Rhinolophus ferrumequinum: one gene and its partners. The protein of the gene in region 4 binds, or shares a complex with, the protein of the main gene of each other region. Links are inferred from orthologs where the notes say so. Each region holds a gene or a part of one and is shown on either strand. Other genes may lie near its edges.

The links.
Region 1: the proteins of PCNA (region 4) and ZRANB3 are in contact, whole or in part, in a crystal structure (PDB 5YD8), measured with the Homo sapiens proteins. The link is inferred for Rhinolophus ferrumequinum from reciprocal best matches to the Homo sapiens genes PCNA and ZRANB3. Residues at the interface, in NP_002583.1 of Homo sapiens: Met40, His44, Val45, Ser46, Leu47, Gln125, Leu126, Gly127, Ile128, Pro129, Asp232, Val233, Pro234, Tyr250, Leu251, Ala252, Pro253; in NP_115519.2 of Homo sapiens: Asp1071, Ile1072, Thr1073, Phe1075, Leu1076, Val1077.
Region 2: the proteins of PCNA (region 4) and CDKN1A are in contact, whole or in part, in a crystal structure (PDB 1AXC), measured with the Homo sapiens proteins. The link is inferred for Rhinolophus ferrumequinum from reciprocal best matches to the Homo sapiens genes PCNA and CDKN1A. Residues at the interface, in NP_002583.1 of Homo sapiens: Cys27, Asp29, Met40, Ser43, His44, Val45, Ser46, Leu47, Ala67, Met68, Gly69, Ala96, Asp97, Leu118, Met119, Asp120, Leu121, Asp122, Val123, Glu124, Gln125, Leu126, Gly127, Ile128, Pro129, Gln131, Tyr133, Ala208, Asp232, Val233; in NP_000380.1 of Homo sapiens: Arg143, Gln144, Thr145, Ser146, Met147, Thr148, Phe150, Tyr151, His152, Ser153, Lys154, Arg155, Arg156, Leu157, Ile158, Phe159, Ser160.
Region 3: the proteins of PCNA (region 4) and DTL are in contact, whole or in part, in a crystal structure (PDB 6QC0), measured with the Homo sapiens proteins. The link is inferred for Rhinolophus ferrumequinum from reciprocal best matches to the Homo sapiens genes PCNA and DTL. Residues at the interface, in NP_002583.1 of Homo sapiens: Met40, Ser43, His44, Val45, Ser46, Leu47, Glu124, Gln125, Leu126, Gly127, Ile128, Pro129, Ala208, Tyr211, Asp232, Val233, Pro234, Tyr250, Leu251, Ala252, Pro253, Lys254, Ile255, Glu256; in NP_057532.4 of Homo sapiens: Ser705, Met706, Arg707, Lys708, Ile709, Cys710, Tyr712, Phe713, His714, Arg715.

The regions. Positions count from the first base shown.
Region 1 is NC_046291.1:82,811,261-82,818,859, reverse strand, and holds the start of ZRANB3 (DNA annealing helicase and endonuclease ZRANB3), read right to left. Parts: upstream 3,008-7,599; 5' UTR 2,934-3,007; intron 86-2,933; exon of another isoform or gene 38-85; coding exon of another isoform or gene 36-37; intron 1-35. UniProt on the Homo sapiens protein: DNA annealing helicase and endonuclease required to maintain genome stability at stalled or collapsed replication forks by facilitating fork restart and limiting inappropriate recombination that could occur during template switching events.
Region 2 is NC_046286.1:6,521,813-6,529,816, reverse strand, and holds the start of CDKN1A (cyclin-dependent kinase inhibitor 1), read right to left. Parts: upstream 3,002-8,004; 5' UTR 2,887-3,001; intron 1-2,886. UniProt on the Homo sapiens protein: Plays an important role in controlling cell cycle progression and DNA damage-induced G2 arrest. Involved in p53/TP53 mediated inhibition of cellular proliferation in response to DNA damage.
Region 3 is NC_046305.1:20,167,445-20,175,092, forward strand, and holds the start of DTL (denticleless protein homolog), read right to left. Parts: upstream 3,005-7,648; 5' UTR 2,862-3,004; coding exon 2,810-2,861; intron 1-2,809. Other genes in the region: INTS7 (integrator complex subunit 7), read left to right, coding at 3,316-3,409. UniProt on the Homo sapiens protein: Substrate-specific adapter of a DCX (DDB1-CUL4-X-box) E3 ubiquitin-protein ligase complex required for cell cycle control, DNA damage response and translesion DNA synthesis.
Region 4 is NC_046306.1:26,664,562-26,671,965, forward strand, and holds the start of PCNA (proliferating cell nuclear antigen), read right to left. Parts: upstream 3,015-7,404; 5' UTR 2,815-3,014; coding exon 2,594-2,814; intron 1,799-2,593; coding exon 1,701-1,798; intron 1,537-1,700; coding exon 1,469-1,536; intron 833-1,468; coding exon 638-832; intron 1-637. Other genes in the region: CDS2 (phosphatidate cytidylyltransferase 2), read left to right, coding at 6,963-7,019. UniProt on the Homo sapiens protein: Auxiliary protein of DNA polymerase delta and epsilon, is involved in the control of eukaryotic DNA replication by increasing the polymerase's processibility during elongation of the leading strand.

The DNA of each region.
Region 1 (7,599 bases), on a different chromosome or scaffold from region 4:
CAAAAGGACAAATAATACTGCATGATTCTACTTACATGAGGCATCTAAAATAGTCAAACTCTTAGAAATAGAAAGTAGAATGGTGATTGCCAGGAGCTGCGGGAGGGTAAAAGGGGAGTTGTTGTTCAATATGTACAGTTTCAGTTTTGCAAGATGAAAAAGTTCCAGAAATCTGTTGCACGACAAAGTGCATATACTTAACACAACTGTAGTACCAGGGGTGACAATTAAGTTCGCGAACTTGTTGAGACAATGTTGCTAACCTTTTTTGATATCAGAGGGGTTATTTATTATGAATTTGTACCAACTGGACAAACAGTTAACCAAGTTTACTATTTGGACGTGCTGAAAAGGCTGCGTGAAAAAGTTAGACGACCTGAACTTTTCGCCAACAATTCACAGCTCTTGCATCATGACAATACACCAGCTCACACAGCGCTGTCTGTGAGGGAGTTTTTAGCCAGTAAACAAATAACTACTGGAACATCCTCCCTACTCACCTGATCTGGCCCCCAATGACATCTTTCTTTACCTGAAGAGGAAGGAAATAATGAAAGGAAGACATTCTGATGACATTCAGGACATCAAAGGTAATACGACAACAGCTCTGATGGCCATTCCAGAAAAGAGTTCCAAAATTGCTTTGAAGGGTGGACTAGGTGCTAGCATCTGTGCATAGCTTCCCAAGGGGAGTACGTCAAAGGTGACCGTAGTGATGATATTCAGCAATGAGGTACCTAGCACTTTTTCTAGGATGAGTTCGCAAACTTAATTATCTGACCTCGTATTCACTTAAAAACGGTTAAGACAGCAAATTTAGGAACTGAATGTTAGAGGCATACAATGAAATACCAGATAGCCATAAAAAATGATAACAGATATTTACTCAGTCATATCCACAGCCTATTGTTGAGTTTAAAAGGTTTACAAAAGAGCAAAGTAGTATGATACCATTGATACATGTCTGTACCTTTAAGAGAGAGACACTGTAAGGATATTCACTAAAATTTAATACTGTGTTTCCTCAAAAATAAGACCTAGCTGGACAATCAGCTCTAATGCGTTTTTTGGAGCAAAAATTAATGAGACCCGGTCTTATTTTACTATAAGACCCAGAATAATATAATATAATACTGGGTCTTATATTAATTTTTGCTCCAAAAGACGCATTAGAGCTGATTGTCCGGCTAGGTCTTAGTTTCAGGGAAATACGGTAGTGGTATCTCTGGGTAATAGGATGACAGATGACATTTATTTTCATTTTTTATATTTTCCTGTTTTCAAATACAAAGAATAGGTATTATATCTATGGCAAAGGATAGCTCAAAAAAGGAAGTGACTGCCACCTTTGGTTCCAGAATACTGGGATGAAATTTTACATTTCTCTTTCACTCTATGTCTGGCATATCTTGGGAGATTAATAAATAGTTGAAAAGCAGGAATGGAATGAGACATATTTGGATATGAATCTCAGCTCCAAAATTTACTGATCGAGGCCTTAAAGTCTTACTGAACTTCATTGAGCCCCACTTTCTTTAACCATAAAATATCAAGAAACAATACTTGCAGAACATTACAGAAAATATGTACTTAAAGCACTAACACATCATTTCTGGCTCAGACGAAACACTCAATAAAATGATGGCCATCATTACTATTTATTGATTTACACTAGAAGAAGCTCACAACAACAAAAAACTAAGTATCTACAGAAGACTATACCGCTAAATTATACAGAAAACTTCAATTGAATTAAAGAACAAGAGACAACTCTTTGTTTGGCGGACACACAACACTGTTGGCTGAAAGGTACGGTTACATTCCCATATGTAACCGGACTAGAATATAAAATGTATCATCTAGTTGGTGCAAAAACACCACTCATGAGTATTGGACAGACTTATCAGTGCTTCAGTAAAAAAAATAATGTTGATGAAAAGGGAAAATACACTCTTTCTAATTCACAGGTAGAATGGAAAGAGGTGATGGAATAAACACACAAAACATGACTAATGACTTAATTTAGAGACAGATTAAAAGAACGAGTAATGTTGCCATTAATTTTTGTTTGGCCTGTCTTCCTCATTGATATTGGACAAGGAGCCTGTCTTTTTAGCACTGCTGTATCCCCAAAGTCTGGTATAGTGCCCAATGTAGTGTGAGTGCTCAATAAACATTTACAAGATGATTTATAAAAGTCTCAGTGACACCATAGGAAAAACTGAAATAGAATTTATCTGAAAAAGTCTCAGTCAAATGATGGGAAAAAGTTTAAGAATGAAAGCCATTAGGCTTGAGGGAGAAAGACCTTTTCTGATAACTCCTCCTGCGTCTCCTTTATTCAATGAGTTTCCCAAGGCACCTCAAAGGGAACGTCCAACAGCAAAGATACACTCAACTTTGCATCCGACGGGGGCATGAACCCGGGCCTACTGGGCTAAACGTATTTGACTATGGGCTCCTAAGTATTTCAATGAGATCTTTATTCATCGGTGTATTATAGCTGGCACCTGTCGTCGACTGGGAAAGGCACCATTCTTGATTATTAAACCTGAGCCCTTCTGTAGCTTTTCTCTTAGGAACCAGCCTTTATAAGTCTGTAAAAGTGGGAGGAATTAGCTCAGAACTTGAGAGCCCGTTGTATACAGTCAGTGACGACATGAAGCCATGCTTCACGCACCGACAGGGGTAAAGGTATTAGAGGCACCCTCTACAAATACGTGGGTGCAATCTAATAGTGAGCAAGTCAAAACACAAGAAAAAAATTAGACTCTGGGATTGAAGACTTGGGGTGGAGAACGGCATTATGGACTTGGGAACCACCCCATCCCATTTCACTCTTTCCTAAAATGCAATTACATTCCGTTCAACTACCTATCTCTCACGCAAGAAAATACAGACTTGCCCCCCACGCCACTCCCAGACGGCCACACCTGGTGTATTCGCTGAAGAATCTCCAACTCCCGCCACAGGTTTGGCTGGTGTCCGCCCCAAAGCGGAAGTGACTTAAGAGACACACACCGAAAGTAAGAGTTCAAATACCAGGATTACAAAACCCTTACGTTCTGAGAAAACTCTTCTCTGATCACCTTCCTCTTCTATCCTTATCTCTTCTGTTAGGGTGGCGAAAAGAATTCACCACAGCCTCGTAACAACTAGTTCTCCACCCTGAACTCCAAATCATTCAAAAGTTTGTCCCTTTTCATTGGCCAGCGGGGCAGCATGGGTACCTCTGAGGAACTACAATTACCGTCAGGAACCGCAGGGAGTAAACGGAGGAAAGGATATGGACAGGGGCAAAGCACGCTGGGAAATGTAGTCCGCCCCCGTCCAAAGAGGGCAATCACCCCGCCTTCCACCCCACTGAGGCTGGAGAAACCAGGTGTTGGGCTTAGAACCCGTTACCGCTAAGGGGAGGAGCCACGTTTTTAAACAGCATTCCTGACTTCCCAGCACATGAAGGATGAAAATTTTCTTTTATTCCTACAAAGCATTACAAATATTCCTTGAAGAAATATGGTTGTCTTTCTAATATCTCCAATTCAGTAAAAACTCCCAGAACTCCCCTACCTTAGGCTCCAACTCGTGGGAAAAGGTGGCTCTTTTACAAGTGGGCAAAATGGCTGTCCTCTTAGTTTTCCCATTGGTTGCCCTTTGCGTCCTTCAAGGGCGGTTACTAACCACCGATTGGTTCTTTTTCCCTTGAGGGTGGAGGAAGACTTGGCATGGCTCTCCCGCGGCCCGAGAGGAGATAAAGGGGTGGAGAGAAGGCAGTATGTCCAGGTGTGATTGGATGATCCTCATGTCACTCCGAGAACGTACAGCCTATGATTTGTCGACTGCCCCTCAAAGAGAACGAAAAGGTGGGGCTAGTGCGTGGTGGGAAGGGGCGGGATTCTGCCAGCCCCGGCCGCCGCTGGAGCCGGTGTCCGGGCTGGTGATGGGGTTAATTCCCTTTCGTAAGACTCGTACTTGCACCCACCCAGCCCCGCCGTCGCCCCGCTGCGCCGCACTCCAGCCGCCTCCTCCTCCTCCTCAGTAACGCGGGTAAGAGATGCCCTCCCCTCCCCCTCTCCAGCTCCCCGGGAATAACGCGCCTCGCTCCCCTCCCCCGCCCTCCAACCGGTAGCGCTAACGGAGAAGGAGGCAGGCAGGGGAGAGATGTGGTGTGTGAGAAGGTGGCCTTCTCCTCCGAGCCGTCGGCGCTCCAGCCAGGGCCCCGCCGAGGTTCTCCTGCTACTGCCAGCCCGTGGGGAGGTCGGGTTCCGAGGGAGTCCGGCTCTCCTGGCCCGTCGCTGCGGCTGCAGCTGCATCCCCTACCTTGTGCCCACCGCCCCCACACGGGGGCCATGTGAAAAGCAAACCCCTGGAGGCCTAGCGGAGGAGGCAGGGGAAAGGTTCCCGAGTCCCTGCCATGGCTGCTGCTGCCCTTGCAGCCCCAGGGACTCGGGAACCAGCCACAGCAGGCCTGCCAGGGACGGGTGCGGTGCGTGGTTGTGCTCTCTAGGGTGGCTGGCGCCGCTGCCTCGAACTCCCCGGCCACCCCACGACCGTGGTCCCCGGCCTTGCACCGGGAGAATTTTTAGAAAGGAAATAAGGCGTTCCGTCGGTTGGTGAAATGTAGGTACATCTTGCCTGTGTACCAGAAAAACACAATGGGAAATTTTAAAAGAAAGTTGAATGACTGTCAGTGCCACGGACTCCGGGAATCAGATTTACACACTTTATGGTTGAGTCTTAGGCTGCCCTCCAAAGCCCTTGTGTATTTGAAGTTTCTTGTCGTTGTTCTCTTTTTTGTTGTTGCAAGGTGCAGAGGAGAGTGCATCTGTTGTTTGAGCTAGCTTTTTTTATGTAGAAACTTCCATTTTTGAGGGTAGCATGCCCCGCGTATAATTGTCCTGGGACAGCAAGTCAACTAAGTAAAAGGTGAAATGCTTTCTAAAACAGTAAGGCTTAGTAAATAGCAGATGATTATTCTAATAAGATTTTCCAGGAAAAAAAAATGTGTATATGTATCTCCCAGATTACAGTTTGCCTGATTATAATTCTGAAGAAAGCCTTTGTTTTTAGCTTAAATGTCATTGATTACAAGAACTTTCAAGTAATGAAAAGATGATAAAAGTCAACTGAAAGCCCACCTTTTTATATTTGAAACAGTAAGGTCTATCTATGTAATATTTAATATGGTAGGATACCAGTATGACTAGAGTAACTGGACACACCTTAACAAAATTTGGCCATATTTAAAAGCAAATGCTTATTCCTCACATACTGAGCCCTCATTTTTTCACTCCTTGCTGTTTTGGCGAGGTGACTATGTCCTTAAATAATAGATTCTGTAATTTATAGTAGACATGCCTGTAATCAGATAAAATTCTAGGCCCACTTCTGAGGCTTGTTACCAGAATCAGAACTTGTGTTCTGAAGAAGTCATTGGGTTTTGCCGAATGTTAGACCCTTTCTTCAGGGTCTGATGAGACTATACTGGCTTAATGATCTTCCATATTCCATAAATAACACACCTAGATACAGAATTGGCATAGATCCATCGATTCAGGACCTGGAAGAAACTTGGTGTGTTGTAATTCTTAAAATGGAATGCATAACCCTGAAAGGTAAGGCCCCTCAGCTCCCCACAGAGTATCCATAGCATATATCACTCAGCATAGCATTTTCTAAAACTTGTTGGTTAATTGATAAATTATATAATTGATGCTGTCAGATCTCATGTGCTTTATATACAGAAAGCGCTGCTAGAAATATAGGAGGTTCCTACGTTCTCTTGTTAGCTGTAGGACCCCACTATGAGTTTCAGTTCAGTTTCCTCATCTGTAAAATGGGGATGATAACGCTTAACTCATGGAGTTGTGAAGCTTAGAGATGAAGTATGTAAAGCCCCTAGCATTGTGCCTAACACAGTATGTATGATTAAATATTAACTATGCATGTTAAGATTATATATATTATGATTAAATATTTCATGCATATTAAGAGAGTAAGTTTTTTATTCACATGCACAGGTGTTGCAACCTCAGCACATGTTCCATTAGTGAGGAGTACTGTGGGGGTTTTTATTTACTTGTATATAGTGACAAAGTAAGTGCAGTTTGCAGCTAGCCATTTTTAGAGTGAAAGTTATATGGGAAATTGGTAACTGGGTATATACAAGTTGCTTATTTTATAGAAGACTTTTTTTGTTTTTGGCATTAAAATGCAAGTGTTTGTGGAATATATTTCAAATGGATTACTTGGAATAAAAGTGGCAAATTATTGTAGTGATAAGTTATTGTAATATCTTTTAAATTTAATATGTTTCAAGATCTAGTTTATATAATTACTACCCATGTTCATTGTGCTACCAGGCTACCAGCAAGCAACAGCTGAATTCCTTTAATACAGCGTTAAGATTAAGAAAGTAATTTGAATTCGTTATGGCCATAGGCTGACTACAGTTTTGTTGGTTTTTAATTTTCATTATTTATCAATACTTGTGTGTTTCTTTTCTGTGAGTCAACATGCCAGACACATTGTTCTTTTCTCCTCCTAGGCACTTGTGAAAGTGTACTGTGTCTTCACACGTAATAGTGTCCTTGGAGTGTGTGCAGTTAGGCCAATTTAAAGTTAGCATGAAAACAGTTCTATTATGAAGTCTTCTGACAGTAATGCCTGGCCAGGGTTCAAGGCAGCTGCACCTTATGCTAAATAGTGAGCTGAGGTACATAATGTTATGGCAGACTTCCCAACTTACTAAACCCAGTACAATTGGATGCTCCTTCAAGGAGCCTTACATGGCAGCAGCAGTAGAAAATGTTATAAAATTGAAATAAGCTTTTTCAAATACTATGCAGAACATACGCATTGCCATGCCTTCTTGCCAAGTAATAAAAGCGATTTTCTTGTCGTGGTACTTTAAAATATCTAATTATACCCATTTGAGTTCATGTTAAATTTTATTTCCTCAAGCTGAGGGTTGATAACACCTATTTTTTCCATTCTTGAAAACGTTACAGTAATAAACACTTTTTTAAAATATTTTTTATTTTTCAATTGACAGTTGACATTCAATATTATATTACTTTCAGGTGTACAGCATAGTGGTTAGACATTTATATAATTTACAAAGTGATCCCCCTGGTACAACTAGTCCCACCTGCCACCATACGTAGTTATTACAATATTATTGGCTATATTCTTTGTGCTGTCCCTGTGACTATTTTATAACTATCACTTATCACTTTGTACTTCTTAACCCCTTCACCTTTTTCACCCAGCCCCCCCCCCCCCCACATCCCGCCCATCTGGCAGGGATCAGTTTGTTCTCTGTATCTATGACTCTGTTTCTGTTTTGTTCATTTATTTTGTTCTTTAGTGAACATGTAAGTGAAATCATACGGTATTTCTCTTTCTCTTCTGACTTATTTCACTTAGCATAATATCCCCTAGATCTATCCATGTTGTCACAAATGGTAAGATTTCATTCTTTTTTATAGTTGAATAATATTCCATTGTATATAGGTACCACATATTCTTTATCCAGTCATCTATTCGATGGGCACTTAGGTTGCCAATATCTTGGCTATTGTAAATAATACTACGAAG
Region 2 (8,004 bases), on a different chromosome or scaffold from region 4:
TTTTTCAAAATGTAGATTGATAGGCCCTAGGGTTTCCAGGCGGGAATTCCCGCCCATTGTCAGCCATTTTTTTCCCCCGCTTTCCTGTTCCCGAATCCCGAGATATAAACTGTTTTCTGTTCTCCACAGTGAATCGTTCCCACAAAGTGACGGCCGATACTACCAACCACCTAGGTTCAAGGAGCCGATTTTCCCAATTTCCTGACCAACTTTTCTCAGGATTCGGGAACGGAAAAGTGGGGTAATTTCCCGAGAACGGGTGGGAATTCCCATCTGGAAACCGTAGCGATAAATAGGAAAAATGTCTAAGATACATTGTGAGTAGTATGTTTATTTCCCATTTTGGGTATTACTGGGTTCAAGGAGCCGATTTTCCCGATTTCCCGACCAACTTTTCTCAGGATTCAGGTAATGGGAAAGCGAAAAAAATTCCTGAGAATGGGCGGGAATTCCCGCCTGGAAACTGTAATAGGTCCTTTCCTCCCCAGATCAACTTAATTCAAATTGAAGGAGATTTAAACAAGTGTTTGGCAGTCCCTCAAATGGGCACTCTTGGGATGCTAGTCAGGAGGGGATACACAGGATGCTGAAATGGACAGTCTGGGTCTCAGTGCCTCATTGGTACAAGGAGGAGCTCACCTAGGACTTTATCAGGTAGTTGGATATTCCTTGTCTTCTAGGAGCTGAAGATGGGACCAGAATCCAGGTAAGGACCCTCTCTCCTACCATCCCTTCCCTTATGGCTCTCATAGGGTTCCCATCAAAACCTGCCTATTATAACTCTCAGCTCAGAAGAAACTCACAAACACAAACCCTTATTTTACAAACAAGTGATTGAGAATAGCTTTCTTCGTTGGCCTTCGTGCTTTAGACTTCAACCAATTTTAATTCCCAAGTAAACAGTAAGCACTCAGTAAACAATGTTCAACCAATGGGGTACTCTTTGGGGGGGACGGGGGGAGCGACCTGGGATCACTCCCAAGAGTAGCCGCGGGAAGGAAGGCGGGTGAAGCCGTATTCCGCGGGAAGGCACGTGTGCTATTCGCTTCGGATCGGAAGGGGGCGCTGGTGTCCAGGAAATCACACGCGGATGGGCGGTGCGTTGGCAGAGCCCTGGACAGCGGCAGTGAGTTGTGATGAGTCAGTTTCCTGCAAAGTACTCCCCGCCCGCCAAAACTTCGCTTCCACTCTGGCTGCGCGTCACCCTCAGCTGAGGAGGGGGGAGTGGAGGGGGACCGGGGGCCGCAAACACGTCACGCTGACCCAGCCAGGCCTCCCGAAACCCCCGCCACTGTTGGGAAACCGCGCGCTGTCCCGCCATCTCTCTCTCTCTCTCTCTCTCTCTCTCTCTCTCTCTCTCGCTCGCTCGCTCTCTCTCTCTCTCGCTCTCTCTCGCTCTCGCCTGTCTCCTCTCACGCACGCACAGGCGGGCAGTGATCTGGTCCCTCCACCTTATCTCCACGCCCAAAGCACCGATGAGTCAGATCTTTGGAAAATAAAAATAGACGGGAGCAAAGAAAACAAAACCTCTCGAAAGTCCTCCCCGAAACGCGACGTGGAGGGAGAAAAAGAGGGAGGGACTCCCTAAAGTGCTTGGGCGTCCTAAAGTGCCAAACCCAGTTCCAAGATTTTTTTCTGCAAGAGGAGGGCGCTGTCCCCCCAAGGGCCCGGGGACAGGGCGGACGCCCTGTGGCCCGAGCTGGGCGGCGGCACTCGAAGCGCGACTCGCCCTCCTGCTCCGCTCAGCTCTGTCGCCCTCGGAGAGGGAATTCTGGACTAGGTCCGGGGCGCCCCAAGACGCTGGATGCAGCTGACACAGGCCGTGAGCAGCGTTGTGCCCCCGAAGCCCCCGAAGCCTCACCCCTCCAAGTTGCGACCCCACCCCGCCTACAACCCAGTCGCTCGGCACAACAGGGTTCGGCTCCCGACCGCAGTCCCGCAGCCCAACCCTAGCGCTGGCTGGGCCGGGGTCTCCCGGCGGTGGTGGGAGAGCTGCGAGGGAGTCCTGAGCTTCCTGAACTGAGTGGCAGGCTGGCGCAGCCCACCCAGCGCCGGGCCGCGGCTCCAAATCCCGGAGGACGCGTCGCGGGGCGGGGACCGGACGCCCGATCCTGAACCTCCCGGTGTCCCGGCTTCCTTGGGAACATTTTGTACCAGCCAAATAGGTCACTATGCTGATGGGGGTGGGACAGAGACCGCGGAAGGGCAGGGAAGGGGACTTCTGGGGCGCCACTGTCCCCCAGCCCGGGCGGGGTTCTGACCTCACCCGGCCCGTTCCCCGGGGTCTCCTTGTCACTGTGAGTCACCTCGCTGACCCTAAGGGATGTGTTTAGACTTGTTCCCAAGAGCTGGGGACACAGCCCACTCTGATCTCAGAGCCCAGCCGGTTGGCGGACGCGACGGCTCCGGGGACCCAGACCTCAGGGGTCTGGGCGGGGACGGTACAGATTGGATCCGAGAGCTGCCGGGGAGCGGATCCCAGATGAACCTGCTCGGATCCTCGTTCCTCCCCTGCCGGACACCTCCGCGTACAGGGGCTTCAATCCCAAGCCGCGAGCCATCCGCGCCGGGTCCACGCCTTTCCTCGTCCCAGCTGAGCTTTAACGCGAGGGGAGGGTGGTAGCGGATACCTCGTACTCTTGTACCTCTCCCCGCCCGAAGTCTCCGCCACATCCCGACTGCCGTGACACACGCACTTCCAGACACACCCATGGGAGCAAAACCGAGACCCACGCACAGACCCACGCACGTCATTCACCTGTGAACACAGCACACAGACACCTTCGCGGACACACACGCGCCTGCATGAACACAAACGCGGACACGCTCAGCTCAGCTCCCAACCGCCGGCCCGGGGTCTGCCCTTGACGACCACGGCTCCCTCACCTCGGAAAGTGTCTGTCTCGGGGAATCCGCGCCGGGCTCCGGAACTCCAAGCCACCGATTCCAGCAACTGCTCACACCTCAGCGGGTGCCGTCCGCCGCAGCCTTTATAAAGAATATTCAGAGGCGGGACTAGCGGGCTGCTCGGCCTTCTGCGTCTGGGACCGCCCTCCCCCGGGACACCGGCCCCTCCTCCACGCCTGGCTCAGATGCCAACCTTGCGTGCTGCTGGAGGGCGCTGCCTTTCTCCCTGCACTCCGCTCCCGGGTTAGTGCGCTTAACCATTTACCCCAAGAACTGAGCCACAAATGTGGATTTTTTTAGTTGGGAAGTGAGTTGGCAATCCCCAGGAGGCGATGGCACTGTTAGAATGAGCCCCGTTTCTGGCCCCCAGAAGATCACAAGGGATGACATGAATAGTAAATAAAAATCCATAAATAATAAAAATGATGTGCCTCACTTTGCAATTCCCAGAAAAGCCCCATTATACCACCACTATTCCCACAGATCCCTCATTAGACCACCTCTCCCCAAGCACCTGGGGCACCTAGACACCCCAACAAAACCTCTTGGACGCCTGAAACGGATTCGATTTCCTCCATTTCACAGATGAGGAAACTGAGGCTCACAGAACAACACCTATGCAAAGTTGTTGGTTAGCAACGCCTCAGGGAAGGAGGGAATTGGGCACACTTCTCAGAAAGGGCCAACCTGGTCTCCAGGGCAAAAGGGGAAAATCGGCATTGAATAAATCTCCTTGCACTCTCCTCCTCAGTCCCCATACCCACCTCTCTCGCCTCAACAGAAGGAACCTCTGTGATTGTAGCAGATTTGATGGCTAGGAAGGGGAGGAGGAGTTGGTGAATGAGTTCTCTTTTGGATACTCCCCACACAGCCCACATACACTTCTGGGGAAACTGAGGCTCAGAGTTTAGTGACCTGACTCAGATCACACAGCAAAGAAATGGCCATGGTGTTTTGCCTCCCAACCAGAGCTCTCAGCTTGTTGCCCTCTCTATTTCAGAAGTTCTCGAATGAGGGAAACACCCAGGATTTCTCATTTTTAGACAGCTTATTGAAGTGATATTGATGAAGAACAATTCTAGAAATGTTCCCCCTGGTGCTTCTGACAGATACAGAAGCAAGTGAGGTGCCCACATACTTCCACCCACCTCCACACCCTAGCCCCCCTGACACCCCACTTTTGCTCCCTTCCTTCACCTAATACATTTGCAGTTCCTGCTTTTTAAAAATTGCAGAGAACAGTGTTACTCTGAACAGAAATTCTACTAAAAAATAGAATCCACGCTTGGAACAACTTTAATTACTAACATCTAGGGCTGTTCAGTGTCTGGAAATCTCTGCCCGGGCATGCCTAGTCTTCTCCCTCTAACACAGCTGACCTCAGGAGGACAAGCCTCTGTCTCCTCCACTGACAGGATGGCAGCACGGGTGGGGTGGGAGGGCACAGCACCAGACCCCCTTGCCTGCCTGCTATTGGAGTCAGGCCAGGATTGTAGTCTGACCTCAGGACGGTCTCCAAAAGGCCAAGACCCCAGGACTTGCCCCCTCCTCCCCAGCTCCTTTCTCCACCCTCCCTTTACCCCCTAACACATGCATACCCACACCACCCAAAGGCTGGGCTGTCAAATGTCCAGCTGAAGACAGGCACATCCTCCTACTGCCTTGAATCCCCTCAGCTTTCAGGCACTTCAAATAGACTTGACATTGTCTGACTGTTTACTTTGGGGGGGAAAATTTAATGAAGGCTTGTGTTGAATTACTTAAAGTTTTGTGGTACTGAACTTCACAATGAAATAATTCTTTCTTTTGTTTTTGTTGGGAAGTGAAGGTTGTTTTTTTTTATTATAACTTTTAGCTCACCACCACAACAGAACTGAATAAATATTATAAAGCACCTAAGTGTTTCCAACCATACACTTGAATGTGTAGCCAAGCATGTCCTTATAGGAGGAATTCTGCCCTGAAGATGGCAAAGGAGCAGGTCGTTAGAAGTCACACAGGATATCTGCTGAGAGAGAGAGAGAGAGAGAGAGAGAGAGAGAGAGAGAGAGAGAGAGAGAGAGAGAGAGATCCCAGGCCAATGCCAAGGGATATGCTTCAAACCACATATTCTGTTCAGAGAAACTCAGACCAAGTTCTCCCTGTGGTCTGGGGGTCTCCTGTCTCCTACTACCCCCTTTTCCCTCCAAAGCAGGCAGCAACAAGGACAAAACAGCCATCAGCCTCTTCTATGCCAGACCTCAACATGTTGGGACTTGTTTCTGAGGGCCAGAGGGCCCTGTCAGAGCCACAGCTTGCTGCCTGAGCATGCTCCCCAGAAAGCTGGCGGCTTAGAGAAGGGTGGTAAGGCTCAGTCTGAGTGACAAGAGGGTCCAGGTCAGCCCCCACCCAGGAGGGAGGTGATGACAGAAAGAAAAGGTCGAAAGCCCAAGCCTGAAAAAGGAGGATGTGAAGAGGACTCAATGGTGGTTGCAGGAGCTGCCCAGGAAGGGAGAGGAAGTGCTGGGAACAAAGTCACCGTTTCTCAGAAAAGGCCCGGGGAGTCCCAAGTCAGCTTTCAGAGGAATTCACCTCCACACTGGCTCCCAAGAAGTGAGACCCCAGAGAAGAGGCAGAACAGACACATTACATTTTTACATTACTAAGCAGAAGAAGCCTTGCTTGCTTTTTTTTAAAGGAAGAATGAGATGAGATCAGGAGCCCCAACCCTGACCCACTGGGGACTTGACTCAGCCAATACAAAAATCAGGACTAACCATACAGTGAGAGAGAGAAATTTGTGTGAGAATTTGTGCTACAAAACACTTCCAGCGAGCCTCCCTAAGCTAGAAATTTCACCTTGCCTAAGCCTGAAATTTCACCATGAGAAATTCATTCCTTTGGCATGAACTCTGTTCTTCATTAAGTAAGACCATATAGGAAAAGTGTTTAGTATAGTGCCTGGCACATAGAAATCATTCTATGAATATTAGTTATTATTATTGCTATTCAAACACCTCCAAGGAAGGCATTCCTTAAAATTGAGTAATTACTTACACTTTAGTGGTATCTTTGGTAGGTTTCCCAGAAAACATACTCTGAAGTGGAGATTTGATTAAAGGATATTTCTTGAGAAGGGCATTCACAATCAACACCTGTGGAGGTATAAAGGAAACAGGATTGGGATGAGAGAGGAGTTGGGCTGTGATGGAGGCTGGAGGCCCTAGAGAGGCCTCAGCTGATCCAATAGGGAGCTCTGGAGCTAAGATGGTCCTGCAGTTTCCTGAATTGAAGTAAGGGGGCAGGGCCTTTATGTCCTGCTTTGACAAGTCATTTGGATATGACTGCCCCTGGAGTAGGGGGATGCATGACCCGGGGAAGGGGGGGCTCCCTTATGTGAGGCTAATTCCTAAAAAGGACTCAACTGTAAGCATTAGCAGCCGATATTTCCCATAGCCAGTGGGGAGAATGAGCGCCTGGGTCCTACAAGGGGTTCTAGGTGGCACAGCATGGTGTGGATGAGTTGCTCAGATCAGTTAGGGACTAGAAGGTGGTGAGGAAATCATTGAATACAGGCCACCTGAGGAGTGAAGGGCGTGCACATATTGTTCCCTCTTCCTGGAGTGAGTGTTCCCGACCAACCTATGCTATCTCCACTCCTTTCTCCACTGCTTGAACTCCTGTTGATCCTTCATGGTCCAACTTACATGACCTTTGTGGAGAGTCCTCCTCAGGGCTCCCTCTGACTCCTAGAGTTCCTGGGGAGCAATCCAGTCCACTGTGTTTTGCTGGCCTGCTTGCTTTGTGTGCCTGCTACATCCCCTGAGCTAGGATCCTGGAGGGGATGAGCTGATATTTTATTTATCTTTGCACCCTTGAGACCTAGCAGCCTCAGCTGGAGCTCAGTGAATATTTACGGAAGTGTCATTTTTAGCCTGCACTCTGAGATTGGGCTTTACAAATCACTGACACCTTCCTGTGAGTTTTTCTCCTATCCTAACCCCTTCCTCCCCTACCTCAAAGTAAATACTCTCTTGAATTTTATGAACTTTTCTTCATTTTCAATAATTTTAGCATATTAATGCTCACCCATTTTTCTATGTACTCTTCTACATTTCCCAGCACCCTCTTGCAGGTTAGGCAGGGTCATGTGACTAGATCTAGCCAAAGAAATGTTAGTATAAGTAACATTTGTCTCTTTAGGGCTGAGGTCAAGTGAAATTCTCCATTCTTTCTGTCCTCCATGGCTGTGGCAAAAGTGATGCCTCATATTCCAGATGGTGCCCACTCACCATGGTGGAGCCTCCATCAGCCTGGGTTCCTGAGTGACTGTGTGGAGCAGACCACCCCATCAACCTATGTGGAATAGGTATGTGAGAGAGAAGTGACCCTTTGTTGTGCAAAGTCACTGAAATGTGGAGGTTATTTGTTACTGCAGCATAACCTACCTAAGATTTATCCACGTGGCTATGATTTGGGAAGTCTGTGGCATCCAGTGAACTATACCTCTGGGTATTCACTATTCACACTCTTTTGTAGTTGCCTCCCTTGAACATGTCTGGCTTGTATCTCTCTCTCTCTCTCTCTCTCTCTCTCTCTCTCTCTCTCTCTCTCTCTCTCTCCATATATATATATATATATATATATATATATATATATAAATTTTATTGGGGAATATTGGGAAACAGTGTATTTCTCCAGGGCCCATCAGCTCCAAGTTGTTGTCCTTCAATCTAGTTGTGGAGGGCGCAGCTCAGCTCCAAGTCCAGTTGCCGTTTTCAATCTTAGTTGCAGGGGGCATAGCCCACCATCCCATGCGGGAATTGAACCAGCAACCTTGTTGTTAAGAGCTCGCGCTCTAACCAACTGAGCCATCCGCCTGTGCCTCTGGCAGCTCAGCGGCAGATTAATGTCTTCAACCTAGTTGTGGAGGGCGCAGCGCACTGGCCCATGTGGCAATTGAACTGGCAACCCTGTTGTTAAGAGCTCATGCTCTGACCAACTGAGCCATCTGGCCGCCCCTTGGCTTGTACCTCTAGTAGCCAACAGAATGGGACAGAAGTAACCTTGTGCCCATTCCAGGCCTAAGCCTTGAGAAAGTCTAGCCAACTACTGCTT
Region 3 (7,648 bases), on a different chromosome or scaffold from region 4:
AAAGCCTATTATTCACTCAATGTACGATTTAAGATTACGCGCAGATTTTTCAAGGAGTATCTGAGGACAGAAGAGTTTCCAGAGAATCAATTTCCTGATACTCAAACTCCAGGTATATGCATTTCTAAAACTGATCACCTGAAAGGTGAGGCTCTCTTTTTCTCCTCTCCCTTCATCACTACCTTTCTTCCACTTTCAAAAGAAAGGCATTTCAACGCCCCAATTTTGCACCTTGCATTGACCCAAGGTATAAAAACTTCTGGGACCCCAAATGAGAGACAATTGGATACGTCCTTTAATATTTAATAAAGGCATCGTGAACACCCAAATCCATCACTTGAAAAAGATATACTTCTGTTAAAATTTTACTTTTTGCTTAATAATTATTTGTCAAAATTAGTAATCTATATTATTTTGACTAATTGCATGCTAATAATTGCAATAATTCAATCCAGAAGAACTTTTAAGACTTAGAGCCTTATGATCACAGACAATATCAATTTAAATGTATTTTTTTTACACGGAGTATGACAGGGTGATCAATAGAATAACTTTCCAAGCTTAAAAACAAATTACATTAGGATACATTCTATTGGGAAAAATAAAGTGGAAATAAATTCAAAGGAAAAACAGCAACTATTTAGAATATCTAACAGTTAAAAGTTTGTTCAGACTTTTAAAAAATGATTGGTGTGGTTATCAAATCACTATAGTATTTACATTCTATTAGATATATTTTAAAAGAGTAATGTAGTATTTTTATTTTAAAATGTCAATATTCACATTATGGCCAGAAATGAAATCCTTTATATTGGTCTAAATTTATGATAAAAACTTTCAGATACCAATTAAAAAATACACGTTAGAGTAATCAGATTTCAATTTTAGAGAGATCACTGGCAGTGATGTGGAGAATATAAACTGGAGAGAGGGAAACTAAGAGGCCATTTGGGAGACTTGTTATAGTCCAGACTAGAGGGCATTAGGGCTCAACCCAAGGAAATGGAATGGTAAACATAGAATAGATCCTAGATATGGTGAAGAGGCAAAATCAGTGGGGATAGAAAGGGCAGATTCAAAAGATTTTAAGGAAACTTACTCGGTGTGTATCTTGAGGAAAATGAAGGAAATTTGATTGACCGTCAGGTTTCTGGCTGGGAAGACTAGTTTAATGAATATGGCAGGTTTGGGGAAAAGTTGCATTCGGTTTTGGTATTTGAGTTCGAGATGCTTGTGGGACTGATCATTTGGGTGAAGATAATCATACAACTCATACAACATAGGAATGGATGTAAAGTCTAGGGAAAGGAAGGTTGCACGTAGTAGTGGAAGAAGCCCTGGTTAAGGCTATGATGATCCATTGGAGTAGGTGGAAGGAGATTAGGGGCCTAGGATGGAACAACTACATGGAAGGGAAAAGGAGATGGTCTCATCAAGATCAGTGTATAATATACAAGAATAAATGAAGTTCAGAGCCTAACACTAAACAATGGATGAGAACTCATGAATGAAAGGGAAGAAGTAGACAGATAGATTGGTGAGTTAGTAGAAAATGTGTTTAAAAATTAAGACTCAATAGATTGTCCCAGGTCACGCAGATAGTACAGAGTGGAGCTGGAATTTTTCCTCCAAAGACAGAGCTCTTACACACTGTGCTGTATTGCCACTCATGACACAGAGGATAGAGAAGTTAATTCAAGCAAGGTCCCAGGGGAGATAGAAAAAGGGGTATTTAGAGTACAATTTAAAAAGATTATTTAAGAGGGAAGTAGGTAAGGATGGTATAAAGTTTTAGATTGGGGCAGGAAGTTGAGAGACTACTGTCTCAATATCCTTTTCCTAGACCTGTGCCTAAGTATAAAACGTCTCTTTCCCAGATTCTTTTCTTTTGGTTTTCCACATGGTTTCAAGGAGAAAGTAGACTTAGTCATCTTTAAAAGAATGAAATTTAATTTCTATCCAAGATGAGTCCGGGTAGTAACTCCCCATCAGAAACTTACCAGGAAGTCTTAGATTGATGATACCCAAACCTAAGCTCAAAACTCTTACTGCCAATGTTTTAACCAAAGGAACCTCAAGAACTGTAGAGAATAAGTTGGATTTCTACACACTAACATGAAAATATTCCCAAGTTACACGGTTAAAGAGAAAAACAAAACAAAACATTTTGATACCATTTTTTTAAATAAATAACAATACATACTGCTTCTGGCATTGAAAAACATTTGGAAAAATGTACTTCAATCGATTTACCACTGGTCATCTCTGGGGATATGTTTATAGGTATTTTTCACTCTATAATTTCGAATTTCTATGCGTATGTAGTAATCAGGGAGGAAAAAAATTTGACCATGCTACAAGCAGTTCTGTCTTCTCTGCTTCACTGAGTTCCTGAACAGCGGGTCAGATACACTCGTGTACTTAAAACAAATAGGGCGCAATAAGGTTCTACAACAAACGAATTAATCCACGAATACGAGTTTCCTCGATCTCACATTGCTGTTGAGGGGTACACACACACACGCATGCACGCTTTTTCCAGTTAAAGTGTAATATAGACATGAGCCGTTAAGGAAGGCCACTTAAGTGAACTTCCCTCCCTCCGTCGGCCTACATTACATTTTAAAAGTCCAAACTACGATTATAAGTGTACGGAGGGCATGAAAGTGCAGCTTCCTTCAGTAGTCTTTGCTAACACGAATTCACTTGAGGGCTGGAAAACAGAACTGGAGTCGGCCTCGGTCCGAGGCGCTGTTTCGGGGGAGGCGAATCCCGCCAGCAACAAGCAGCAGTTAGGGCCGTTACTCACCATTTCTCGGGACGCCAAACTGGGGCTGGCGGAGCACCGAATTGAAGAGCATCTGGACCAGAGGAAAAGGCTCAACTGAGGGAAAAGCCTTGAAATCGCCCCCAGGTTCAACAGAAGTCGCAGCTCGCGTCTCTCAGAAGAGGACTAGTTATAGCCTCCAACTCCCGCCACTGTAAGCCCCGGCCACCAAACTCCCCGCCAAACTGACGTCACGCCCTCTGATTGGCTCCCGCAGCGGCGTCCGGACGCCGCCGAGTCACTTCCCCCTCCAAATCCCCGCCTTCTTTTCTCCTAGCCGCGGGAACCTAGAGTTCAAGAGCTCTCTGAGCGCCTGCGCGGGGGGCCGCTGAGGCGCTAGCGAACCGCGGGGTGACTAGGGCGCATGCGTAACACGGCTTGCCAGAGCGCGGAGGAAAAATCCGCGAGAAGGTGGTGGGAGAAGATGGCGGTGCTGGGCCAGAGTTTACAATCTTTTTGAATAAGCTAACCGAGTAACTGTTCGGGTCATGGCGTCAAACTCAACTAAGTCTTTCCTGGCAGATGCCGGCTATGGCGAACAGGAGCTGGATGCTAACTCTGCCCTTATGGAATTAGACAAAGGTATTCGAAAGAGCGGGCTGAGCGGGTGAGATGGAGGGGTGGAAGCGGCGCCACCAGGTGGTGGTAGCATCGGGAGAGGCCGGGAAGGCGTATGCGCAAAGCTTCCCTGGGCGGGGGCGGGGGCGTGGGCGGGCGCCTGTGCTTTTGGTGAGTCCAGGGTTTTTATCGCTTTGGGAAATTGGCAGGAAAATTGCAGCATTGCTGGAGTTGGGTTTGCAACAGCTGAAGAAGTAGCGAGCTCCACTGATAGGCCTGTTTTGACCACTGGGGGGCACAGTCCCCCGATTTTCCAAGCAGTTTTGAGGAATGCTAGATTGAAATTGTGCAATTATTCTTCGGAACGTTCAGTTGAAACCGACTTTGCACCGACTTTACAGCGATTTATTTGATTTCTGTAACTCTGTTACGTGCGTCTTACCAGGCAGGTTAAATAGCCAAGACCATCCGTAAAGCGTAACCTCTGCTAATTTTCCTGCAGATGAATTCCACCAGTTGTTTCCTTAAGCGGGGCGGGTAAGGGTGTGGAGGGGTGAGAGGCAGCTTGGTATAGCTGAAGGAACTTTGAAATTAGAATGAGTTGAATTTCAGTTTCACTAATTTCATAATCATGTACAAGTCACCTGACTTCACCCAACCTCGGTATTTTTGTCTGCAAAGTGGGTACAATACCATTGAGCTGGCAAGACTGTTGTAAATAGTAAGTGATACAGTGATATGCAAAAGAAGCCTTTCTTAAATGCTAAAGAGATATGCCTTCTTAGATATGGATATGGCAGGCAAGGGCAGATATTTGTCAGTAAAGAACTCAACTATTAAAATGAATCCTTTGTTTCAGTGTACTTCAACGATTTTTATTGAATGGAGAAAACATTTTGTTATCTGGGATACAGTTAAATCTTGATTAATCGTAGCCGTTCTATAATGTATTGAGAACTGGACTACAGGTTAGAAGAATCTGTCTAATTTAAATCCACTTTGAGCCATTTCCCAGCTTCTTGGCTTGGACACTCTTAACTTTGGGGGGAATTTTTGTTTTGTTTTGTTTCTTTTTTAACCTGTAAACATTTCTAGTGGGTTGGTCTAGGTAAGATTTTCACAGACTTTTATAAAAGCCTTTTAAGATCGTTTGATCAACATAAAAATGTCAACACTCCAATGTGTTATTCCTTTGGTTGAGTCACAAAATGTTTAGTACATCTCCATCAACCAAGAAGATGATGTGAACTTTCTTTTACCAAAGCTATAGGGCTTTTATCCTCTGAAATATAAAATTAAAACATTAAATGTGTTTTTTAAACACTACATAATCTTTTCCTCCCCATTCTGATCATTCCTTGCTTATTCCCCAGTGACAGTTTCATGTCCTGATAGCTAATATTCCTACCAATTCTACAGACATTTTTCTACCACTCTGGTCCAGGTGGGCTTGTCCCCTAAGGCCAGTAGGACAATGGTTATGGAACAGAGATCAGGATGGGACTCTGAAGAAATGAGTAATCTGTATTAGTTTAATTACTAAAAATTTGCAATTGTAAAAAAAAAAATAGCACAAATTTTCCTTAAATAAATAAATGGATGGCTATTGAGTGTTTAACTGTAAACAGGTGTCAGTCCTAGATACTAAGTAAGTGACTGTGTTCAGTCCTCCCAGCAGTGCCCTGGGTATTTCACAAGATGAGTCTCAGGCTCAGAAAGATAATTTGAACAAGACAAGAACAAAACTTGTTCTTTTTCACTCATTATGCTGTACCTTTTAAAGTTGTTAAGAAATTAGATAACAGAAATAGCCAGTGCATTAGAAGATAGTTTAGTGTTTCAAATATTGAGCCATCTCATCCTTACTTGTTAAAGTATTTCTATTTTGTGAGCCAAATGTCATAGTGTCAGAAGGCTACAAGTTCCCCTACTAGAGAGAGAGACCTTTGCAGCCAAGTTTACACCACGTGACCAATTCCATGCCTTAACTGATTGATTCAGAAGTGGACATATGACCCACAGTGAGCCAATCAAATTCTTTCTCAGACCAAATTTAGTCTGACAGTGTTGAGAAGTGGACCTATAAGATCATGTAGGATTGAGCCTTAGGTCAGACTCTTAACAACTCAGTGCCACAGAAAAACCAGCATTAGGAAGGACCTGGTTGGTGATCCCTTGATAGGCCATGGACTGACCCCAAAACCCAAGGCCTTTCTCCAGTTCTTACTGAAATCCGTGGACTCGTTTTCATGTATGGCTAAAAGCTACTGTCTTATAACTTACAAAGTGAGTTATTCAGTATTCCTAAAAGTTGGTATTCATAAAATAAAATTAATTTGTTTATGATTACAAATCATATTCTATGTACATGCTGCACACTGGCATACATGCCATCATACATGGTATTTACAGACAACTTCTGAAATTTGGGGTAAGGATGGTTTATTATTAATGCATCATCAGTTGAGTTGACTATCATTTCAGTTGTTTCTATTCCTGCTTTTTAATGTAATTTATTGAGGCTTTGCCATTAACAATTTATTGAGCTATAAGTTGTTAGGTTACTTTATAATGTGTGGCGCATGCTTGTGTTTGTATCCGCCCCCTCCTCCTCGCTTTTAGTAGTGAATAGACTTGATGTATAGGTGTTACGATTCCACTTTGAATAATTTTCACCACTTAGGTAAAGCAATGTATATAACAGAGTCCTCTAAAATGTGCTTGTTTGGTGGTGTGAATTACCAGTGTTTGTAAGTGGATATTGGTCACGTGGATGGTAGCATTTTAGCATCTTGTGAGCACTCTTCCTGTGCTTGAGGAATGGTCCGCGTCATGAGCCCTGTCTCACCAAAATGGAAGCAAAAACTCACTAGTTTCCCTTGCTAGAGCGCTGGATGTGAACTTATGCCCTGCCAATCAGACAGGCCTCCTCCAGGCTCTGCGATTTAAGTTCAGAGATGCAAGAAAGCCGGTTTGATGAGTACACTCGCTGTTCCCTGGGCTGGCAGCAGTGGTGGCTGTAGTGTCTCTAGTATACGGTACCGGCAGCAATGGCTACGTTCCTAGATGACAGCAGAGCTCCTTGTAGCATCTGGTGTTCCCTGGCAACAACAGTTTTCCCCCATCTAGTCAGTTTGGCAGTGTGGTATTTGGTGTTATTAGAAATTTACCCTTGAAACTGTTTACTAGTCTTTTAATAAATTCATTTTCTGCCAAATCAGCCCGAGTTAGGTTCTGTTGCTTACAGCTAAGAACCCTGACTGATATATACCTGGAAATGTGTGCTACTTTGGAAACTTGATTAAGGTGCATCACAAACCCCAAGTTTACCATAATTTATGTTATTCAGTTTCCTGGAATTTGTGATCCCTCAGAATTACACCACTCTGAAATCACGAATTCAGATACCCCATTCCTTAATCTTAACCTCTGTCCTAGTTGCTTGATAGGTGAACATTTTAGCATAATGGTAAGGGCCATAGCATAATGGTAGGGGCCGTAGGTTCCAGAGCCAGATTCCCAGGATTTGAACCCCATCTCTGCCATTTGTTAGCTGTTGTTTCTTAGGCAAGTTGCTTAACTGCTCTTTGCCTGTATCTTCATTTTTAAAATAGGGATAATACTTCCTAACTTTTGTGATTATAAAGTGAGGCTTTAATACATGTAAAGTAGAGTGTCAGGCACACTATAAGGACTTAATATGCATCGTCATTATCATTTTGATTAATGCTATTTTGATCATTCTTTATCTTCATTCACACCCCGGTATATTTATCTCTCTACTTTCCCCTACTTAGCAGTTCCTTCCTGTCTTTACTTCTGTATCCAGTTTACATTTCATGGTTTCTCAATTTATTAACTTCATTTACTTTCTTACCAGTACTTGAAATTCTCATCCAAGGTTCTGTTCTAGTCATGTGTGCCCAAAGGCAGCCAGAAATTGCTGGAGAAAGTCATAAACAGGGTATGTGGCTATTATCAGAAATTATATCAAACTCAAACTAGCCTTTAACACAGACCTGCAATACTAGAGCGTTTCTTTGGTCAAGACTCTCCTACCTTCAGTGACATTTCAGATCTTTAAGTTTTCAAAAAAGCCAGAAATCTTGAGTTTTATGTGCAACCTCATTTTTAAAACTTGGCAATGAATTCAAAGTCTTTAAAGACATGTCTACCAGCTAACGTCATTCTGAGGACCAGATTCAGCAGCCTACTAGTTTTCTTACTCCAGTGTAATCAGTACAGGCAGGCCAGTCAAATAAG
Region 4 (7,404 bases):
GAAAGCTAAAGGTTAGCCACCTAGCTTGGGTTTGATACACAAACTTATTGTTCTGTGGTTTATAAAGGAAGCACTGAATTTGCATTCCCTTCTCACAAATTGGAAAGTAGATGGCACTTATAAATCACTTGCAGATTTCAACAGTACCTTTCACTTCTCACAAATTTCTTGGAAATGCCATTTTGTCTATTATTCTTTAGAGTTTTCTTTAATTTTAGCAATTACCTTGCTATAGACTGCATGTTTGTGTTGTCGTGTCTCTCCCACCATTCCTGTTAAAACCAAATCCCCAATGTGATCGCATTTGGAGGTGGGGCCTTTGGGAGGTGCTTAGGGTCATGAGAATAGAGCCTTCATGAATAGGATTAGTGCCCTTATAAAAGAGACTCCAAAGAGCTCCCTTGCCTCTTCTACCAGGTGACAAGGCTGCTGTCTATGGACTAAGAAGTAGGTCCTCACTAGACACTGAATCTGCCAGCTTCCCAGCCTCCAGAGCTAGGAAATAAATTCCCATTGCTTATAAGCCACTCGTCTATGGCATTTTGTTATAGCAGCCCAAACAGACTAAGACAACCTAATATTAAGCAGTTTTACAATTCTCTTCAAAGTATTTTCTGTCTACTTAAGAATTACTTACAGCTTCCTCTTCTTTATCGACATTACTTGTTTGTGACAACTTAATATTTCCATTTCCAAGTTCCCCACTTGCAGAAAATTTCACTCCGTCCTTTGCACAGGAAATTACAATAGCATCTCCAATGTGACTGAGATCTCGGCATATACGTGCAAATTCACCAGAAGGCATCTTTACTACACAGCTATATTCTTGTTCCTAGAAAACAAACAAACAAGCAAAAACACTTAAAGGTCAATTTCTGGAAATGAAAGAATTGGCAACCTCACTTTCTGAAGAATCAGCACCTAATCAAGAACTCAGAATTTAAGATTTTTTGATTACGTTGAAATGTCACTCATTGTGTGATTTCTTAACACTCCAACTACTCAAAGCCCCTCCGAATCACCCTCCAGGACTAAATCAAGAGGGCATAGGAATGATGACGGTGCAAGAAGGCACATCTGCTTTCCAAAACAAGAGAATATGGTACTAGGGATTATAAACATTCCAACACTTCTCTCCTTTAATGTTTCGAAACCTAACCTTAATAAATGTCTGCCACCATAGTTTAAAATCTACTCTTAAACAAAAGTCAAGCATTCTAGGAATAAAAAGATGCATGGAGGTTAATAAAAATACAAATATGCATTTGGCAACAATGAATTCAACCAATGATCTATTTTAGAGTACTGTAGTTTAATAAAAGACAAATGTGTCAGTCTAAATACTAAAACCCCACTCTACACCATGCATCAGCAGATATATAATTGTTAGGAAGTAGGCTTTAAATTAATTATATTAATATATCTTATGTAACTCATGTACAGTGTACTCAATCAGAAACATACTCACTGGAATCCCAAGTTGTTCAACATCTAAATCCATTAACTTCATTTCATAGTCTGAAACCTTTTCTTGATCTACCAAAAGAAAGCCAATGTTAAAGAAAAGCATGGAAGTTTATAACTATGATGTCAATTTTACAAGCTCACAAACATTATCTTAAACTTCTCCCAGCTTTGAGAAATACTGACAATGCATTTTAATTTTCTTCAGCCTAACTCAGTAGGAAAATATGACCTACTTGGAGCTTCAAAAACTAATGCCAACGTGTCCGCATTATCTTCAGCCCTTAGTGTAATGATGTCTTCGTTGCCGGCACACTTTAGTATTTTGGACATGCTAGAACAGAGAAGACACAGGGTTTAAAATCGACACCATCTTTTCAAGATCGTTAGATTTCTAAGCAATTAAAACAAGGAGTTACCATTTTGACCCATTAGGCTGTCTGATGAATTGGCAAGTTAGGTAAACGTACTACAGGAGGATGTGTAAACCGGTCCAGCCATTTTGGAGTGCAATCTTCCAGTATTTATAAAATACAAAGCTACCACCAGCAATTTCACTTCCGGATAGAAACAAAAGAACAGTATTTTCTGAATTCAAATCCGTTTAGTGAGTGAATAAATCATTGGGCCTCGACGATCATTAAAAACTACCTAAAATTGAAAGCCACTGTCCTGGAGAGATTTTCCAAGTCCAAGAGGGTGCTCACTACTACTTTTCTTTATAAAAGACTGGAAATAACCTATTGTCCCTAAGTAAGGGGATACAACTAGGGGGCGTTATAAAGCGGCTAAAGTCAACCATAATCGGTTTCTCATCCAAGGCCGCCGGCACCTAATGACCAAAGAGCTCTGGAACAGTGTTTTCCTGGCTTGGCAGCGAAACCCGTCATTTTCCCGCCACCACCCGCTTTGTGACTTTGGCGCGGAAAAAGCCGGTTCGCGCCGCTGTCAGCGCGGGCTTTTGGAACCGCGCGTTCCGTGGGTCCCGCCTCCCGGTATAGCAGGCCAATGAGAAGGCGCCGATGGCCCACTCCAGCTAAAGAGGGCCCGGCTCAGAGGCGCTCCCGCCAAGAGCCAGAATTGGGGGTGAGGGGAAGAGTGCACCGCTCCCCACTGCCCCCAAGCTTACCTAGTGAGGTTCACACCCATGGCCAGGTTGCGGTCGCAGCGGTACGTGTCGAAGCCCTCAGAGCGCAGGGTGAGCTGCACTAAGGAGACATGGGATGAGTCCATGCTCTGCAAGTTCACGCCGCTGGAGCTGATGTCCCAGCAAGCCTCGTTGATGAGGTCCTTAAGCGCCTCCAGCACCTTCTTCAGGATGGAGCCCTGGACCAGGCGCGCCTCGAACATGGTGGCGGAGTCGCAACGACGCGGCTACAGGCTAAGGGAAAGAGGAAGTGTAGCGGGTTTAGGCTTCACGGGATGAGAGCGAGAAGGCGAACACAGCAGTAAGAGCCGGCGACCGAGGAAGTTCACGGCAAGCTCGCTGCGCCAGCAACCGTTTAATACCACCGCGTCTGCTAGCGCGCGCTCTCCGTCCCTGCGCCCCGTGGAGACGTCACCACGTTGACCCGCCCACTGCCTGGGCGTAGAGACTCTACGGCCAATCGTGTGCCTGCTCTGCGCGAAGCCCGCCCCCAAACATCCATTGGAAAATGTAGGGACGGGGCGGGGCGCGAACGCTGCACCTCCTGGGCTGGGCAAGAGGGAGTCGGGGCCGGACTCCCCGCCTTTTTGCCAGGCTCTAGCAACTGAACGCTGGACATGCCCGGGCATCAGTGAGGTCCAGGCTGGGAGTCGTCGAGTCCCAGCTTTTTGGTACTTCCTTAACCTCCCGCTTTGAGGATAGAAAGTTTCCAGTCGTGGAAGTGAAACACAAGTGCAACCTATGCTGGGGACGGGGGTGGAAAAACCGCCTGTAGCCTGGAGAACTGCTGCTTTAAATGTGCACATTTTGGCTGTTATAGAAGTGACGCGCTCCTAAAAGTCAAACGATGAAGGGTTGTATAGTTACAAAAAAATTATCTCAGCTTCCCACCACCAGCTATTAAGACCCACCCCCACACACGCAAGGCTCACATCACTCAATAGTTTCCTCTATACAGCTTTCTAGCTTTTTCTGTACAAATACACATTTTTTTTAAAAAAAAAGCAGGTTCATACCGTTAACACTTCTGCAATATAAAGTACCTGTATATATAATTTCGTGCCACATAAATGTCTTCTATATAAGTACCTTTTAAAACGGCATAATATAGGCATACCTCGGACATATTGCAGGTTTGGTTCCAGACCACCGCAATAAAGCGAGTAATAGCAGTAGAGAATCATGGTATTTTTCCTGGTGGCGGGTTTTGCCTTTAATTTGTAACACTTGTGAAGCACAATAAAGCCACAAGCAATAAAACGAGGTATGCCTGTATTTTATGTTTGTAACCTAATTTGCCAATTTCTTGTGTGTGTTTACAAACACCTTTGGGCACTTAGGTGATTTTATGAGATCAACACCTTGAAGTATTATTTGCATACACATTAAGTATTTGATTAATGTTACTAAATTGACCTCTAAAGGATTGCAATTTATATTCTAGCCAAGACTATGAGTATGCTCATTTCCCTCAATTTTCCTAACGATAGATATTACCAATCTTGACTTTAATCTGTGCTCGTTTATGTGAAAATTTCACTTTGCATATTGAGTATTACAGATTGAACATCTTTCATATATTTCTTGACCATTTCATTGTTTGTATATTTTTATTAAAATATTTTCTTATTGATTAAAATAAGCACTTTATATGTTACAGTAATCATTTCCCTATTACATGTATTCTCTCCCTGCTTTGTTATTTCTCTTTCACTTTGATTACAGCATTTCCCTTTAGTTGCATTTGATATCTTATTATGGTTTATAGAATTCTTTAGTTTTTCTACCACGTATCTGGTTGTGGATTTAGTTTTATTTATTGTGTTCAGGGAATTTTGTGTTCTTTAATCAGAAGATCATGTATTTCATCAAGTCTAGAATATTCTCAACCATTATGGCTTCAAATATTGCCTTTCCCTGGCATTTCTTTTAGATTTATCTATGTCATTGAATTTAAGATACCGTCAATTGTAAGAGACAACATTACTTTATGTAACACAAGAAAGAAAATATTGTCAGACTATCACAGTGTTTATCATTTAGAATTTCTATTTTGTAATTATTGAAATAACTTTTAGATTTTTAAAAATATTTGTATCACATATTACTCTTGTACGTACGTTAAAAATATATATATAAACAAAATTAACTGGCTAAGGCATTCCTAATATTTCTCCACACTAAGTTTCCCACTTAGTTGCTGGTACTGTTGTTTTTCCATATAATATTATACTCTATTGTATAGGGTGATGATGAGTGCTACTTTATTGTCTCTGTAATTTCTTCCAAGTGTCTGTCACCCATTTGTAAATTTTTTTATTAAAAATGTTGTATTCAATTTATTTAAATTAAAAAAATAAAAAACAAAACAGTACACCCTGACTTCAGGAATGTATTTGGTCTGAGTTTAGTTAGCCTGGCAGGGCTGAATGTAATGGATGAGAAGTTTGTTGAGGCTAAATTGTAGTGGGTTATCTACCCTAGTAAACATACTGTGCATTCTGAAACTGATCTACATGCACTGGTTTTCCAACCTCTTTTATATTAGGCTGGATTTGAAAGGAACAGCTGAGCGTTTGGAAGGACTGATGTGATGCTTCCTCAGATGTGAACTTTCACAATTATGTACCCTTCAGGTGAGGATCTGAATACTAACACCTCCACCTGTCTCAGAGGATGACCTTGTGGCTTTCTCTGTGTTGAAGTCCTTCTAGGTCCTTTAGGTCATAAACTTTGCTTAATTTACCCAAGATGTGTCTGGTCTTTAGATCAAGAAGTGATCACTGACAGTCAAAATGGTTATCACAACAGTCCTTAACAGATTAAAAGAGTTTTTAAATTACCATCAGCATGTTACTTTTAAAAATAACATTAAAACAAAACACAAAAGCAAAGTTTTCTTTAAATAAATTATGGCCTGAAGGGAGTGGTCTGCTTCTCAAAACAAAACAAAAATACAAATATTTGTGCAATGTTAACAGGAAACAAAGCATACCGAGTTGTGTTCCTCCACATCTATTTTACTGTCACTTTGAAGCACTATTACTGTAACTTGGGAATACATTCTTATAGAAATCAAGAATTCTCACTAGTTTCCCAAAAACCCACAGTTCAGGTCAAAATTGATTATACGAAACTGCAACTCATTATGTGTGGAAGTTTTTCTCCTTGTTAAATTACAATATGCTTAAAGGAAGGGACCTCATTTCATACATGTTTTACATCACTTACAAGGCAGAGAATAAGAACAGCTGATGGCAATGCTTGAGAAACATAGGTTAGTGTGGGCTTTGGTAAGAAACAGATCAGTGTTCCGATTCTTAGTGGGAATTTTCTAGCTGTGAGACCGCGGTTAAATCATTTTCCTTTACGAGAAGATTTAAATCCATTCAACAAGTACTTAGGATGTGTCCGATACATAGGGGAATCTGGCTGTGAACAAAGCAAGCAGCATTCCTGTCCAAAAAACAAGGTCTTTCAACAGTCCAGAAGGAAAACAAATGTGAAAAACCGCGGAAGATCTTATCTATAAAATGAAAATCATACCCACTGCCAAACGTTGTGCAGACTGAATGGCATAAATTAAAGCGATTACTTGGTTCAGTACCTAACACATAATTTACGCTCAGTAAGTAGTAGAGGCAACTTGGCAAAGCAACGCAGACTTAAGTTTGGGTTTCACATCCCTTATCACGTGACGACACACTTGGGCTCCTCAGGCCTTTCCACTCAGGGCCTAACTAGCGCCTACTTACATGCGTGAGGGAAGAGGCCTGGCTACCCACGACACAAAGCACAGACCAGGAAGCCAACCACTAACCAAGCTAGAGCCTCCGAGTGAGGCAACCCGTTAATTCTAGGATCTAGGTACCAGCGCCGGCCATCCGCGGTCAGGCCGGAGCTCCTATTGGCTAGTATCCCTCGGAAGCGCACGCCTTTTCCCGCCCCATCACGTTTCTGTCCAATGCAGGCCTATCCACTCCGCTCCGCCCTGCCCCCACTGCCCCGCCTCCCTGGCGGATTCGCGCCATTGGTGGATCTCCGGGGCCGTGATGGTGGCGGTGCGCGTGCGCGTTCGCTCTGGGGGCCATCCGGAGAGAAGGAGCTAGCGGGCTGGGGCTGGAGAGGCCAATTGTGCTCCGCCCTAGTGAAAGGGCGGCGACGGTGCTGGGTCCAGCCGAGCTCCAGGGCTGGCCGTGGGCTGCAGTGGGGCCCGTGAGCCGCTGCGGAGCTGTGAGCTGCTCAGGCGGGGCGGGGCCGGCCGAGTAGAGTCCGCGCGCGCCCGCGCTGAGCTGCCCGCTCCGGCGGCTGCGCTGCTCGGCCGCGGGGACGTCGCGCCAGAGTCTCCAGCATGAACGAGCTGAGGCTTAGGGCGGTCCGCGAACCGGACGCACCGCCAGAGTACAAGGTAGCGGCGGCATCGGGGTGGACGTGGTCAGGGCAGCGGCGACCCCCGGAGAGTCGCGGGGGGCACGCGCAGAGGGGTCGTCTGGCTCTTTGACCCTTTGTCGCGGCCGATGGCGGCACCGGGCCTGGACAACTTGGAGGGTCCTCGGGTGCAGGGCTCCCGCGGAGCGCGCGTCAGGGGTCAGCAAGAGGGGACCCCGGGGACACGGCTCTGGGGTCCGGGTGGAGGTGGTATCTCCGCGGCGCAGAAAGGAGCGCGCAGGGGGTTACGCACGCTGCCTGCCTCGCAGTGCTAGTTGGGGGTCCCCCTCCTGTCCCTCACCTCCCGAGGCCTTCCTGGGTGTGAAGACGTCGAGACCTGAAAGCCTTCTCTGGCCGGTGACTCC